Linked DNA regions of Caenorhabditis elegans. The protein of the gene in region 2 purifies or fractionates together with the protein of the main gene of each other region. This does not show direct contact. Each region holds a gene or a part of one and is shown on either strand. Other genes may lie near its edges.

Region 1 (10,657 bases), on a different chromosome or scaffold from region 2:
ACCAACCTGAATAATAGCATTTAAAATTTCCATATCAGTAGGAGCTTTCTTATAAATAATCAATGGCCTGAAACCATAGAAAAACGGTTGTAAGGCAAGCCACAGAAGCTTCCGCGGCGCGGTGGTGAAGAACTCGGCCTCAAATGTTGTAGGGACATCTGTATCTAGGCCATCTTCTCCTGTAAATAAGCATTTTATTCAAATAACATGACAAGAATCAGAAAATTGAGTAAATTTGGATGGTGTTGTCAGTTTACAACTTTTTTATAGCGTTAGTAGTTTTGGAGTTACGGGTCATTTCTCTTTAGGCCGGGGTTGTCAGTAAATTTATTAAATTGATGTTACCGTAGAAATATTCTTCTTGAAATTTTCTACATTTTTGCAATTCACAATATTTTAATTGCGTTCCTCTGCGCAAAGTTACAGGCGTTCTAAGTTTGCCAGGATGAGAGAGCGCGGAGGAGGGGGAGAGTGCAGATACTGCCTGCGCTCTCCTCCTCCCCCACACTCTCTCACCGCCAAAACTTCAAAGAGGTTTATCTCGGCGAGGAGGTAAGATAGAAAATTACAGTAAGAGGCAAAAAAGTCCAGAATTTTATTTTTTACACAATGGACTTACCCAAATATCGATGATGCTCCACATGATACTTCTTAAAAGACACTGATATCGGCACAGCAATCGGCAAATTTGCCCACATTCCGAAAAATCGATTTTTCAATGGGTACTTATTACCAAAAGCCGTATTATGTGAAATATCATGGATGGCAAGTGTCATTGCGTGATTGATTATTCCACCGCAAAAGTAGGCTTCAAGTATTATTAATATCCAATCAGCATCTTGTAATAACCAACACATAAAAATTTGAAATATTACCAAACTAGACACCACGTATTTTAGAGATGGATCAACGCCGAATAGCTAAAATTTTCAGTTTCAGAAAATGCTCATACGTTTTAAAATATAAACTCACCTTTTTAACTTCTGGGTACTTTTTCACAATTTCCTCTCGTCTACTCATATGTGGCTGCTCTGTTAACGTCCAAATAAAATCATCTCGACTCACTGATTGCCCCATTTTAAGAGCAGTTTTGAGATCTGAAAAGTAGAAATTTTAAATAGAGAGCGCGGTGAGGGGGAGAGTGCAGACACTGCCTGCGCTCTCCCCCACCCCCACGCTCTCTCGCTAAAGAAACTTTGAAGAGATGTATCCCGGCAGGTAGGAAAGATAGAAAAACACTGTAAAAGGAAAAATTGTGTAGAATTGGATTTTCTACAAGAGGAGTGAATTGAATTCTGAAAATTTTGAAACAAATTTTGTGAAATGATTTTTTTGGGGGTTTGATTTTGTTAAATTTTCAAAAACTAATAATAACTAAATTTTGACAAAAAAAACCATTTAAATTCAAAATTCCAGTAATAAAAATTAAAAAAAACCGTGTAAATCACCTCTACAAATTCCTGCACAAAAAGAAAATCAATGGGCGGTTATTTTTCTTTCGGAACACATTAAAATGGGCAGTTTTTGTGTGATAAGATCACGTCTTAAAAATGATAAGAACACGAATATGATGAATCAGGAAAGGAGAGAGCAGGAGAGCAGCAGAGAAACAGACTATAAGGCACACGTAGTGATGTATTTGTTCTTGAGAGCAAAGAGTGCGCAGGGACTATAGAGACATTCCAATCCAGGTACAATATGATCTTTGGATAGACTTGAAGAGGAATTTGGAATTGAGTTACATTGAGAAGTGGTGTAACTTTTTGAAAATTTTGAAAAAAAAAACATTTAATTAAAAAAAAAAAAATTTCCAAAACTTTACAATCTTTTAGAAAATCTAATTCTACACAATTTTGCTTTTACAGTATGCTTCTACCTATCTTACTTGCAGAGATACACCGCTTCAAAGTTTTGAAGGCGAGAGAGTGTGGAAGAGGGAGAGAGCGCAGTGTCTGCGCACTCCCCTCCCCCACACTTTCTCACCCCGTCGAATTTGAAACGCGTGTAACTCTGTGGAAAAAAGAGGTAGAGAAACAATGATAACTGCAAAAATGTAGAGAATTTTGAGGAGAATATTTTGTTGGCTGAGAAAATTTTGATATCTTCATTTTTCAGGAAGATATAGGGGGCTTAAGAAATATTTAGTTAAAAATTCGTAAAACCACGCACAAACAAGTAAAAAATAGCGCGAGTGCTTTTTAAAGCAAAACATCTAGCAAAGGTTGCACATTTTCAAACTAAAAATTTATATTTTTCAATAAATTCAAAGGCACATATGCTCTCTGAGACAAAAAGTGATAAATTGGAAACCTTATAGGATGAAAAGCCAGAGGGGGAAATTGGTTGGTTAGCAACCACCTGAATCCAGTTTCCGTTGCTCTTGGAGCACACACATACGGAAAGGTGGACTTATTGCGTAGAGAATGCAACTATACATGCAAATAGAAAGGAAGGAACTGTGTGTGTGTGTGTTTTGAGAGCGAGACGGGAGAGGGAAGCGATGCTCTTTTTTTCCAATGATTCACTAGGTATTGGTCATTTTCGTGGTAAAACAAACAGTTTCAGACAGTAGAGTATAGGGAAATTGATAATGAAAACTAGACGGAAACATTATGAAATATCATTTGGAAAACTAAAAATTGAAAATTCAAATTCAAACATTCATTTTTCATAAATTTCATAAATGCTAAAACTCAAAACGTTATCCAGTAGAAAATCCAATTCTACACATTCTTGTCTTTTACACTACCTCTCTATCTTTCCTACCCGCCGAGTTACACCACGCTGAAGTTTTGGCGGGTGAGAGAGTGTGGGGGAGGGGGAGAGCGCAGGCAGTGTCTGCACTCTCCCCCTCCCTCGCGCTCTCTCACCCGCCAATCTTAAAACGCCTGTCACTTTGAGCAGAGGAGTGCAATTAAAATATTGTAAATTGCAAAAATGTACAGAATTTCAAGGCGTATATTTTGTTAGTTAAGTAAAATTTGGTAGAATAAGCTTCCGGTTAGATATGGCACTTTTGGCTCTTACCCAATAAATGCAGAATATCTTTGTAGAGCAAAACACTGCTCAAATACACTTTTTAGTTTGAATTTCAGGAAAAAAAAACAAGAAACTAAAAAAAACTCCGAACAATTTGTTTTTATTGCAATATATAGAGAATCAAATTCTGAACATTTTTCCTTTTTACAATATTTTTGTATCTTTCCTCTCTGCAAAGATACACCTCTTCTAAGTTTCGGTGTTGAGAGCGTGGAGGGAGAGGAGAGTGCAGGCAGTATATCTCTCTGCACTCTCGCCCTCCCCCACACTCTCTCACCCCAAAAAACTTCAAACGCTCACAACTTCACGCAGAGAAATGCTATCAAAAAGTGTTTAACTAACAAAATGTAGAGAATTTCACGGGGTATATTTAATTTTTAATTAAATTTTCGATACGATTTATTTAAAAAATATGTTTTTAAAAATAATTTATCACGTAAAAACTTTTTAAATCCATTGAAAAATCAATCTGCTTCATTTCTCCAAACCAACCATGGTTTTGTTGTTCAATTTTCTGAAACTTATGCTTTTTTCGACAGTGCATGGAATTGTTATCGAGTTTGGTAAGGAGACCTCTTCGCTGGAGCGCGTTTGCAGCCCCTTTCTGCAAAGTCTCAAATCTACTGTTTTTTTTTCAGAAAGACGAGCGGAACTCTACTCCCTGTACTCCTCAATTCCATTATCAAAAGACACGTGGAGATTTGAGAATTACCTGAACGTTCACAAGTACAACAATATACTATTCGACGGAAAAATCTTGGAATTCGACTCACTGGGATGGTTAAATGGGAATCAGACGATTTATCACAAATTACCATATTTTATATCGAATCCGGCGTTTCGAATTCCTCATATATCAAAGGAATTGTGTGATTCTAACGGGTTCTTTAATATTGGATTTCGCATTTTTCAGGTTTAATTTTTTTTTCTATTTATTCGATAATTTTTATATAATATTGTTGAATTTTAGCTTTTCGGGCCTAAAAATCTATAAAAACGGCAAAAGTTCGGTGGAGCGCGTTTGCACACTCGCGAATCGTGCCAAGACCAGTTTTAATCAATTTTTAAGATCATAGACAAATGCAGCTGTTTTTCTGCTAGATTTTATATGTTTCTAGTGAGCAAATTCATTTCATGAGCAAAAGAGAAAAAAAAATGATTAAAATAAATTTGGTGAAGCGCACTTTTACACGTGGTGTCAGGCGTTTTCCATAAAGTTTTGTAGATTTTAGTGTTAAAGTTCAAAATTTAGACATGTTATAGAGGCGTAGCGTAAATTTGAATGATCTACAATAAAATGCGGAAATTTTTTGCCCAGTAAAATGTGTCGCCAGCACACTTACAAAATTTGTTGAGAAATCTGCGACTCAATTCCCGCATTTTTTGAAGATCACACCGAAATGGGACACTCTGACCACGTGTTTTATTATCTTTTGCGGGCTTATTCACATGAAAAAAACCGTTTTTTTTCTATAAAATTTTGTAGATTTGAGTGTAAAAGTTCAAAATTTAGACCTGTTATAGGGGCGGAGCGTAAATTTTCAATTGTTTTTCCCGCCCCTTTTTTTTTGAGATCGCCTTCCCCCGATATTTAAATTCTCCAGAAAACGCTGCCCCTGCATCAAAATCAACGTTATTTTGCAGAAAACTCGCGAAGCGGGCCTCCCGTACCAACCGCAATGTGCCACGTGTCATCCGATAATTGAAGGTCTCCATCAAATGTACTACGTATTCCCGGAACGTGATTTCACTCAGATTTTCACGAAATTGACGATCGGCTCTCGAAAAATCAATAATTTATTGCACTATTGTAGTCGGGAGGATTGTGAACAGGAGCCACGTGTCTCGAATTTTCAGGATTACTTGAGAATTAATAGTGAGTGTATTATTTAACTTGGCTGAAAATTAGACGAACTAGCTGAAATTACCCTCAAAGTATCAGAAATTTATTTCTGAATTCAATGAGTCTAGTTAAGCATAGCATACATATCACAAGCCTTCATTATCTCTCAAGGGTACTCCTAAGGTGCTTAGTAGGTACAGTGCACCCAACAGCTACTTTTTTATAGAAAACTAGTATTGGAATTGGAATCAGCATACCAAAAAACCTATGGATCTATAATTTTATCATGATATCTCAAAAGTTGAGTGCAAAAGAGCAAAAAGTTGAAAAATCGACCGCCCAACTGCTATGGGACCCCCCCCCTGCGATTTTCGACAATTTCGCCGAAAATTCTCATTTTTTCAAGAAGCATAAAATTTTTCAGTTTCAAAAATACATTTAATGTAGTAATTTGGTGGTGTAATTTTTGTTTTTCATATCATCGAAATAACTGGAAACCTGCAAAAGCTTGATTTTCAACTTTTTATGACCTTTAAGCCCGACATGAAGCTACTGAGCGGGCTATTTTTTTAAGTTGTAAATGGCTTTTAGCAAGTTTTTTGGTGCCACTTGGTGTTTAAGCTCGTATCTGAGCAGCCGATGGAGCTTTCTTTACAAAATTTTACAGGCTATTTTGCTTAAAAATCCACAAATCATGCACCATAAACAATAGCTTCATCATACTTAAAATAATGTAGTACCATTAAAAACCCTAAGCTTAGTACTTTTGAAGCTTGTATAGTTTATCTAGAACTAGCTTATATCTGTAAATCATCCCGAAATTGAGCCAAATTAACTGAAAATTATTGTGAGCACATTTTTGATTCCAGTCCCTGTGACGCCGTTTTCCTTTTTATATCTTTTGCCAAACTACACCTTCCACAGACCTGCATTTTGGAAAGGTGACAAGATGGAGTGGAGAGCATGGAGCCACTGAAACCGACAGAGAAGCTATAGGGCTCCCCAATGGAGAGCTGGCGGTTGGTTTCCAGGACTTTACTCTCTGAAAAACTCAAAAATTTACAGATTCATTCTCGAAAAATTGAAGGATTTACTACAATGTGTGGAATTGAGTTGAATGGTAAAATTGTGAGCAGCTATAACTTTGTGAATGAGGATATTATTGGGGACGGAGAGCAGAATGGTAAGCTTTATTGACTTTATCGTATAGAAATTCAAATTCTGATTCTTTCTTCGTTTTCCATGATTTCTCTATCTCTACTCCCCGCCGAGATATACCCCGCTTTGAAGTTTTATTAGCGAGAGAGCGCGGAGGAGGGGGAGAGTGCAGACACTGCCAGCGCTCTCCTTCTCCTCTACACTCTCGCATTGGGAAAACTTTGAAAGCTTGTAACTTTGCGCAGAGGAATGCTATCAAAGAGTTGTCAACTGCCGAAATGTATAGAATTTTAATGAGCATATTTTGTTAGTTGGCAACTTTTTCGTGTGATCATTTTTTAAGGAAAAAACTCAGAAATTCCAAAATCCATATAACGTTCTTTATGGATCCCTAGTTAACAACCCTTTCATTTTAATTTATCAGGAAGATATCAAAATTCTGGCAATTAGTTGACAGATGACAAAATATAGAGAATTCCATTGAAAATACAGTTTCAGATAAAATCTTCACCTACGAAAACTACGAGTCTCTGGAAATTTCAATAAACTCTGTGAACGACACTAAGAACAATATTCAATTGTTCATCTCCTGGGATGATTGGGGTTGCTGTTCGGCGTGCTGCTGTCCCACCTCAATCTGTGGACATGATTATGAGACTGCTAGTGATTGGTCAGTTTTCACCTCTTATTTTTAGTACATATTTAAAATTTTCAATGAAAATCAATATTCCGCTCGCACCCGAGTTGGGCATTTGTCGATTAGGAAGTGGAAAATGGAAAAGGAAGCGCAGGTAAGATGGAAGTTATTTGAAGTGGCTGTAGCTTTGTAATAGTACAAGCTACCAAATAGTTATCAACTGACAAGTTGTAGGAAATTAATTTCTCTACAGATTACCAACTTTTTGATAGCTAGGTAACTTTGCGGAGATACAGGAGTTCCTCCAAGATAGTTCGAAAGCTTTCTAGCTCCGTTCAGATGTAAGATCTCAAAGTATTGTTAGCTAGCAAAATGTAGCAAATTAGATTCTTTATAGAATTAACTACTTTTAGTTAACTACTTTTTGGCACCTACAAAATTCTCCGAGTTATAGGAGTTTTGAGATAGCGCTTCACTTCCCCCAGAAGACTAGCCCAAAACCTGTCTAATCCCGTTCAGATACTTGATATCAAAAAGTTGTTATCTATGATAGCAACTTGTAGAAAATTAAATTCTCTACAAAGTGTTCGTTTTACAATTCCCATCACCTCTCACCATTTCAATTTCCAGCCCAACCAACCCAGCGAGTCACTGAACCAACTTCACAGACTGCTCTCAATCCCTCCGTATGCTCATCAGGGAATTCCATTGTTCTCGTCATTGTTGAAAAGAATTGTGCTTGAGGATATTTTAAGAGATATCCGAAGTGATTTGGTGCCAAAGTTCATTGTAGCTAACAAGGCTGCTGGGTAAGTTGAAAGGGAATTTTTAGGTTTTGAGGGGAGGTGGTTAAAAGCTTCTTTAAAACCCCCATATCTTTGCGCAAAAATGAGATACGAAGAAAGTATCAATTAATCAACTTAACTACTTTAAATTTGCTTGAAATTTCTAGTTGACAAGTTTTCTGTAGCTCTTACGGATTCGGAGCTACAGAAATCATAAAAACAGGTGTATTTTTGCGTGGGTGGGAGGCAGAATATTTGTTTTAATTAATAAAATAAACTACATAAAATTTTCTACAAATTGTTAGTTGACAACTTTTATGTAGCTCCTATTACCACCGAGATAAAGCCCGCTGAAATTTTTCTCAAAAATGCTAAAAAACTTTTTTTTTTCCAAAGTTTCAAAATCTTTTTCGCCCATCTTGTAGAGCATGAAATTCTGAGCATTTTTCAATTTTGAGATACACCGCTTTAAAGTTTCTGCGGTGTCTGCGCTCTCCCCTCGCCACACACTCTCTCACTTACCTTGCAAACTTAAAACGCTTATAACTCTGCGGAAAGCAAAGCTAATGAAATTTTGTAAATGGACAAAATATAGGAAATCGAATTCTCTACATTTTGGCAATTAACAGTTTTTTTGATACGACTGCTGTTTCCAGGCACAAATTCACGTCTGGAATGTTCATCGAATTAGAGTCCTGCAAGTCGAATATTCAAAAGACGAATTGCTACGAGTGGGCCAAGTGCCACAATATTTCGATGGTAAGTTCAGTGTAGACAGGCAGGCATGTAGGCATACCTACGTTTAGGAAGACGTCCACGTGGAATCCGAGGAGCAAGTTTCCGATTCGTGTCAGCAAGTGCAATTTATCGATGTGCTCGTTGGAATGGATAATATGAAAGTGACGTGGGTTTTTGCTTCCTTAGTTCAGTAGAGCGCAATTGCAAAATGGGAGACATTGATAAGGACTCGATCATGTTTAAATTTGATTAGGAAATTATTGTCAATCGGATGCAATTGTGCTCTATCGCAAAATTTTCTGGAACAATCGATATTAACAATATCGATTTTTTATTATCGATTCCACAAAAATGCCTACTTGTTCGATAGAGCGCTTTTACATCATCAGGAGCAAAATTATCGATTTTTCAGCGTCGGAGCCCACCAACATCTCCGTATCCGAATGGATTCAGAAGTTCACGATATGCGAACCACGTCCGCCAAATGGAGAATTGATCTTCGAAAACCCAAAAAATACGATAAGAACCGCCCGTGTCTGCTGCAGGGAACCGTGCAACGTGGCGGCGAGCTACTCATTCTTGACTTTTCCACGTGGCACATGAAAATTGATTTGATTTTGGCGAAGGAACGGAAGAAGGTTCGAATCACTTTTCATAATTTAAAGTGAGTTTGGAAATTTTTTGGGAATTTTTCAGATTTTCTTTTTCAGATTTTCAATTTTCAAATGTTTCCAATTTTCCCTGAAACTTTTTATAACATTTAACAATTTCGATTTTTTTCAATTTTCAGAATTTTTCGAAAATTGCTACTAGTTGGGAAAATTCTGGGAAATTAATGTTTTTTTTGAAAATAATGGAATTTTATCGATTTTCCAGAATTTCCTGGAGTTTGATTTATTGCCAAATAATTTTTGGAAAAGTCTGAATAGTTAAAAAAAAAGTTGAAAAACGTCCGAAAAAACGTCGGAAAAATTTCAAATTTTTTTAAGGTTTAAAAATTCAAAAAAATGCGATTTTTAAAAAAAATTTTTGATTTTAGAATTTTCGGGATATTTCAGAAATATCGATTTTACAGAATTTTTTGAGGCTTTTCATGGAATTTGGAATTTTGGGGAATATATATTTGATAACAAATTTCGAACTTTCAGAGTTGACGAGAAGGTTTCTGCAATACAAAATACTGTATTCTATTGGGCGCTGGCAATTGCTGGTAAGAGTTTTTGAAGAAAATTAAAATTGAAATAGTGAGAATTTACAACAAAAAATTCCAATAATTTAATACTTCTGAAAACTTATCGCGTCTAATGAAAGTAAAATGCTGAATTTCAAAAAAAAAGAATCAGCTCAAAAATAATAAAACATTTTCAGCATTCTTCCTGCTTCTCGTCACTGCCGTCATTTTAATGCACAGAGAGAAGACACGGCGTTTGGAGAAAACTCTTAAATCAGTTAATTCACACTAGTACATTGTCGAGAGAACTCGGATTTTATAAATAAATGATGAATTTATGGTGTTTCAAAATTTTTGATTTTTACTATAAATGACTCATTTTTGGCATTTTTCAATAGTTTTTGACGGGTTAAACCTAGATTTTCTGAATTCAGCGTGTATGAATTACCCGTTTTCAACAAATTTAGACAACTTTTTATTTTTGCCAAAATTTTTTTCAGCCATCTAATGACTGTCCTTTTTTTTATTTTGGGCAAAAAAATAATTGTCTTGAAAATGTTTAAAACTACTATATTCTGAAAAAGGGCAATTTTTTAGTGATCCTAAATCAATTTTGAGTCCTCTAACTACAAAATTGCCCGTTTTAGTGAAGTTTCAAAATTGTGAATTTTTGCCATAAATTGGCCATTTTTGCCACTTTTTAATAGTTTTTGACGGACTAAACCTAGATTTTCTGAATTTTGCATGTATGAATTACCCGTTTTCAACAAATTTAGACAACTTTTTATTTTTGCCCAAATTTTCTAATGACTGTCCTTTTTTTTTATTTTGGGCAAAAAAATAATTTTCCTGAAAATGTTCAAAACTACTATATTCTGAAAAAGGTCAATTTTTAGCCTGCAGTAATCATACAAAACAACTAAAGTAAGCCCACAGTACCCTTACAGTACCTTAACATCATCCCCACCAACTCCCAACAAAATACCTCTACTAAAGCTAAAAATTCAAATTTCCCAAACTACAATAATTCTACAGTATCCCTACAGTACCCGTACAGTAATCCTTCAATACCCTTATAGTACCTTAATTTTTGATGAAAAATTCAAAAATTTTACAAAAAATCAGATTTCATGGGAAAATTTGCTGTGTAGAGACAATGTAAAATTAAAATCGAATAAGCTTAATGTAAGAATAGGGTAAGAACAGGAAAAGCGTGAGGAATCGAAAGAAAGATCAGAAAAAATAAATATTTCACAAATTAAATAATAAAACCAGTCATCATGAAA
Region 2 (5,614 bases):
TGAAGCACACAAATATCCGTCGTCACCAGTCGAGAACTTAATTACAACAGAAACCCGAGGTGAAACATATCTTTCTACTTCAAATGGCCAAGTTCCTTCTACACACAACGTAACGAATGGAGGAAGTGTAGAGAGAAGAGGCCCATTCTTTTCATCAACATGTGTGGAGAGATAAATACGTGGAATACGGCGTTGAATCGATGTCAAAACTGGAAAAAAGAGTTGTTATTAAGACTCTTTTCCAGTTATCTCACGTTTCCTATCTGCAATCAAAAGACTGGCAAGATTTGGTCCAAAATGAACTACTTTGCATAATGGAAAGTCATCTAAAAATTGGTCGATGATAATTCTTGCTTGATCGCCCTCCAGATAATTTGATTGAGTATCAATTGACGGAACAAACTATAAATAAATGAATTGCAATTATTTTTTCCTCAAATAGTTTTAACTGACAGTTATGAACAACTCCTGGCACACTTGCATCATGTGGAACAGTTCCCGATTTGTATATGGCAGTTGATAACGATCAGTGGTTCTTACTTCAAAATTAACGAATAAATAATTGGCTTTACAAGATGATAATCGAGTTGCTAATTTTAGGATCTGAAATAGGTTGGCATTTATATGTGCAATGTTTGAAGAAAAACATACAGTGTCAGGATTGAGGATTCTACATCCTGAAAAGTCTTGATATACAGCTCTGAATGCTCGATCAGGTTGATCCCTAATAGTAAGTTCCTTGATTGTTCCGTCAGAGCTAATGTCAGTCAACTGTTTTGAAACACTATTCCCGTTGGAATGACTATGATCTCCACTAGCATGTCCATTGGTTCCATTAGACGAATTGGAAACTCCGTTGCTAACTCCAGACTGCTTATGTTGTGCAAATTTGTGCAGCCGAACAATTTGTACGAACGTTGCAAATGCGTGACGGATTCCAGCATAATCAGATCCAACAACTTCGACTCCTCTGATTGCATCGATTGTAAGTGTATATGAGCCAGAAGGACGTCCATCTTCAAACACTCCACATGTCACCTTTCCTTCCAATGAAGATGTTTCGTGATCTGCCAACCGATGTCCTGTAAGATGAGCTAGAATGGTGTTGAGTGAATAGTTCGGAGAAACATTACCTCTGTATTCTATATCGACTCCTACACTGATCAAAAGTGGCTTGCTGAGTTCTATAATTTGCATTACTTGTCGAGGATTGGCACTCGAACAATCATCAAAGTAGACTTTAAGTTTCCCGTCTTTCGGGAATTCAAAGTTCCGAGCAGAATGGGGCTTTATGGAAATAAGTTTTGGTTGAGGCCAAAGAAGATCTGTCCAAGAGTCGATTTCACCTTCAATGTACTTATCGTACTTGACGGAATCGTTGAAAATTTGGGTATTCAGAGTTTCTGTGCATGAAATCAAAGACATTCGATCGTCCATGTCATCAACTGATCTATGATGTCTAACATCTCTAGCTATTTGATCCATGCTGAGAAGTGATAGAAGAGATGGATTGTGAGTTTCAGCAAGTGCAAAAGCATCTTGATCCTTTTTTGTTTTGAGTGCAGGATTTGCTCCGGAAGAAAGTAGAAGTTTCACAATTTCTGGATCTGCTTTTCTCAGAATAGCAGTATGAAGAGGAGTCTCGTCTTTCGAATTTGCAAGATCAACAGTGGCGCCATTTGTGAGCAATGCTTTTACAACTTCCAATGTAGCAAAATCAGCAGCCCAATTTAAAAGTGTATTCTTTGTTTGTGGCGTGTCGAACGAATCAACGTGTACTCCGGCACGAATAAGTTGGCATAGACGTTCAGTTCTGAAAAATTATTTATTTCTGTTTGGTCAAGATGGAGAAATTCGCTAAAGATGAATTGGCACGTATCAACTCGTTTCCCGAAAGACGTAACAAGTGGCCACTGCTGATGCAGGTATTTTTTGGATTTTATATGTATGCTAATGTTTAAAAAAAACAATTTAAGACACAGATGACAACAGGCCCTGGCAGCAGCACACCTGGATTTTTCCCCCAACCACGTGCTCGTGATGATTCTAATATTGATGATGTGCCCTTGAAAAGCACCTACGTGGCGAAAATTCTTCAAGATCGTCAAGATGTAAAGACTGGTTAATTGATTAAAATGAATATTTCTTACTTGTTCATGTTAATTGACTGCAAAGCTTCTCGGACGAATGACAACCGAACATTTTCTGATTTGCAGCATTGATAGGCTGTTTTACCATCCAAGTTTTGTACACATGGATTTACACCTCCGGAAAGCAAAGAAGCTACACTATCAGCAGCATCTAAAACTGTTATCTTGCTTAAAATCAAAATCTCAAAATATTACCTAGCTCAACAGCTTTATGAAGTAGTGTTCCTTCCTTGCAGCAAAGTTTATCGACTTGAACGTGAAAGTCCGGTTGGTTCTCTGTAGTTTAACATATTGTTACAGTATACTTTTATTGAAACTTACTCATTTGTGACAAGATTGAGCAAATCACGTCCACTCGGCCGCTCTCAAGGCACTGCAAAAGTACCGGAGCGGCTTCTTCTTTTTCACCCATGTCGCTGAAATTATAGATTTTTTGAGGTCGAATTCGTGTTAAATACAGGGTTAAAAGATGATCGACTAACACGTTCGAATCGTCGTAAAAATCACAGCAACACAATGATTGGTAATACAAAACGATTTAGCATACAAAAATCTGGAGAAGCAGACAAAATCCACGAAGATCGCAACAAACACGACAGCAGCGGAATTTGACCTTTCAAAAAAAAATAAACGTGAAATTGATTTTTTCCATAATGGAAATTATTATATTCGGGGGAATTTAAGATATATTTCAAACTGTGATTTCACAAAAACTATTCAATAAAAATCTTTGAATTTTGTTTCAGTTTCTCAAAAAAGTACGAAGATATCAATCGTATTTCAAAACCTACGTTAACTTTCCAAACTTGTTTCAAGAAAAATTTCAATAAGAATTGTATAAAAATGTTTTCAGTATTATAGAACAAATATTCATAAACACGTTACCGAAACAAAAATCTTTGGGAATTTGCAACAAACAACTGGAAAGAGTTACCAAAAGTTGGCAAAAATTGGAAAAAATTGAAAAAAGTTGGTTGAGAAGTGGGTTAATTTGGCTGGTAAGTGACCACCAATTGCAGTGTTCCCGGCCTATGGTTTAACTAATATTCACGGCCACGTAGCATTTGACATGTTGTGGGCCTCCTCCACAAGATGAGACGGCAGAGAAACATACGGTCTCTGCGTCTCTCACTCCTACATCTGATCTCATTTATTTTGCACATATTGATCTACCGTCCGGCTCTAGTATGTAGACATTTTTGTTGAACCTTTTGAAGTATAAGACATATAAAAATGTCTGTATACAAAAGAGTAATTTAAAGGATAAATATCAACTCCAGTCGACAATGTAGTACTAAGTTAACTCAGTACTACATTGTCGATTTTTGAAGGTTTTTTGAATTTAAAAAAAGTTGGCTTAAAGTGAAAAGCGGCTAATGGAAAAACTTATTAGTTGAGTTAAAAGAGAGAAATTTCGGTCCAAAGATTACGCTGGCTACTACAGTACCCTCTTTACTGAAGAGCTGATAACTACATAACAAAATGTTCAGTTTGAAATGATTAATATTTCTTTAGTTGACAATATTTTTCTAACCTGTAAGACAGACTAGTTGCATGTCCCCAAAAGCTACATTGATTAGAAAGTCAAATAACAGTTCATGAAATACTTTTTTTAAAAGTTAGAAGAAAGTATTCACAAAATTGTTAGATATCTCATATAAAATAAGTTCCCAATTGAAATATCAATTTCAGGTTTCAGGACTTAGTGGTATAGCCGGTTTAAGATGGCCAACTTGGAAATGTCAAAATCCCCATAATTTTTTGTATATAGAAATGTAGTTCTTGTTAGTAAAAATTGTTTTAAATCTGCTTGTCATAATATTTGGTTAATAAAATTGTTGTATCTTTAAAGATAACGGAGATTGTAAGGTTTTAATTAAGGGTGGCATGTAAAACCACAGCCATCAAGTTATGGTCGTATCTTTTTATTGAGAAGAGATATCAAAAAACTCTCAACTTAAGAAATGTCTGTCTTTTTGTAATGCTCATTTTGTCAGTTTATCATTAGTCTCTATCTCAAACATGAACAGAGTTATATATGCTCAAAATCTATGAAGTGCATCCACTTTCTACAATCAAGGCTATAGCTGCTACAGTCTACCGTATCATCGATTTCTGCTCAAATTTAAGAACTCCTGTTGAAAACAACGGCAAGGTGGCCAGCAAGCAAACCGCGAGAGAGTTGGTACATTTCTTGTGAAGGAGACCGTGTACAGATTCCACGTCGCGCTGGCCGAGCCTTTGAGGACTAGTAATACGGTGGAGTGTCGTTAGCGCGCTCTGTTTAGCAAACATTTTTCATTTATTTTTAGGGTTTTCAAGAGAACATTTCAATAGTTTTCATCTGTTTTTTTTTGTATTTTTAACATTAGTTGTTTCAATTTTTTTCAGAAATGAAGGTAGTTCTTCAACGAGTTACTCGAGCTGCAGTCACCGTAGGTGATGAAGTGGTAAGAATATATTAACCGTTATTGTTTAAAATATCATAATCAGGTAGGTTCCATTGGAAGAGGTCTGTGTGTGCTTGTCGGAGTTCATCGAGATGACACGGAAGAGGATATGAAGTATATCATTAGGAAAATTTTGAATCTACGAGTTTTCCCTGCTTCGGAACAAAAACCATGGGATAAATCAGTTATGGATCTCGATTTAGAAGTGCTGTCTGTCAGTCAGTTCACCCTTTACGGTCAGTTTAAAGTGAGTTTTGTCTAATATACTTAAACAAAACTATTCATATTATTTCGTTTTTTAGGGAAATAAACTGGACTTTCATACCGCAATGGCCCCAACAGAAGCTTCAAAATTTTATGCTTCTTTTCTTGAAGCCATGAAAAAAGCTTACAAAGCTGATAAGATTCAGGACGGCAAATTTGCAGCAATGATGAGCGTCGATATTGTAAATGACGGACCTGTTACAGTTACTTTTGATAGTAAAGAAAAATAATAAAAATTTGTTTTACTACTGTTGAATTTTGTACAATTTTGTTCATACAGCGGTTTGATTCCGTCATCATATCTTAATTATTTTCATATATTTATATTCTCTGGCAAAACCTCATATTACGTATACCTTAAATGCGAGTTTTCAATATCTTACGCACATTGGTCTCACCACGCAGACGACGACTTACTGTAACTTTTGTCGATTTATGGATTTTGCATTAAATTTTGATTATATAAATCGTAACAGAAATTTTTCCTTTAATTTGAAAATTATGAGGCAAATGTGGCCCTTAATTTGACACCAGTTACAGTAACCCGATATCAGCGTGGCGAAACCCATACGCTGAGTTTTCCTCTAACAATAGTTTTTTCTTATTTCTAATGTAAATCTCATTAAAAACTGAAAAAAAAACTTGGAAAAACGTCTCCATTTCAGTTTGTCTGATAGCAAATCGAGTTCACTGAAATCTCTTAACCCAAATGGGGAGTGCCTCTAAAATCGAGGAAGATCTGTGCAGGAT

The links. The genes of interacting proteins can lie anywhere in the genome.
Region 1: the proteins of pqn-68 (region 2) and Y54E5A.2 fractionate together in Caenorhabditis elegans (co-fractionation; one large-scale study listed by BioGRID). This does not show direct contact.

The regions. Positions count from the first base shown.
Region 1 is NC_003279.8:14,690,638-14,701,294, forward strand, and holds Y54E5A.2 (Recep_L_domain domain-containing protein), read left to right. Parts: upstream 1-3,516; 5' UTR 3,517-3,532; coding exon 3,533-3,602; intron 3,603-3,677; coding exon 3,678-3,952; intron 3,953-4,683; coding exon 4,684-4,915; intron 4,916-5,806; coding exon 5,807-5,901; intron 5,902-5,947; coding exon 5,948-6,065; intron 6,066-6,538; coding exon 6,539-6,710; intron 6,711-6,803; coding exon 6,804-6,831; intron 6,832-7,307; coding exon 7,308-7,486; intron 7,487-8,118; coding exon 8,119-8,221; intron 8,222-8,268; coding exon 8,269-8,366; intron 8,367-8,612; coding exon 8,613-8,864; intron 8,865-9,348; coding exon 9,349-9,410; intron 9,411-9,568; coding exon 9,569-9,663; 3' UTR 9,664-9,755; downstream 9,756-10,657. Other genes in the region: ttm-5 (Putative sphingolipid delta(4)-desaturase/C4-monooxygenase), read right to left, coding at 7-179, 620-920, 973-1,077.
Region 2 is NC_003283.11:12,948,095-12,953,708, forward strand, and holds pqn-68 (D-aminoacyl-tRNA deacylase), read left to right. Parts: upstream 1-4,541; 5' UTR 4,542-4,543; coding exon 4,544-4,600; intron 4,601-4,643; coding exon 4,644-4,847; intron 4,848-4,902; coding exon 4,903-5,094; 3' UTR 5,095-5,114; downstream 5,115-5,614. Other genes in the region: T16G1.9 (EIF3k), read right to left, coding at 1-209, 255-402, 454-603, 652-1,082, 1,134-1,813, 2,151-2,301, 2,346-2,426, 2,472-2,562; T16G1.13 (uncharacterized protein), read left to right, coding at 1,845-1,925, 1,977-2,126; T16G1.18 (uncharacterized protein), read left to right, coding at 3,243-3,335, 3,843-3,929.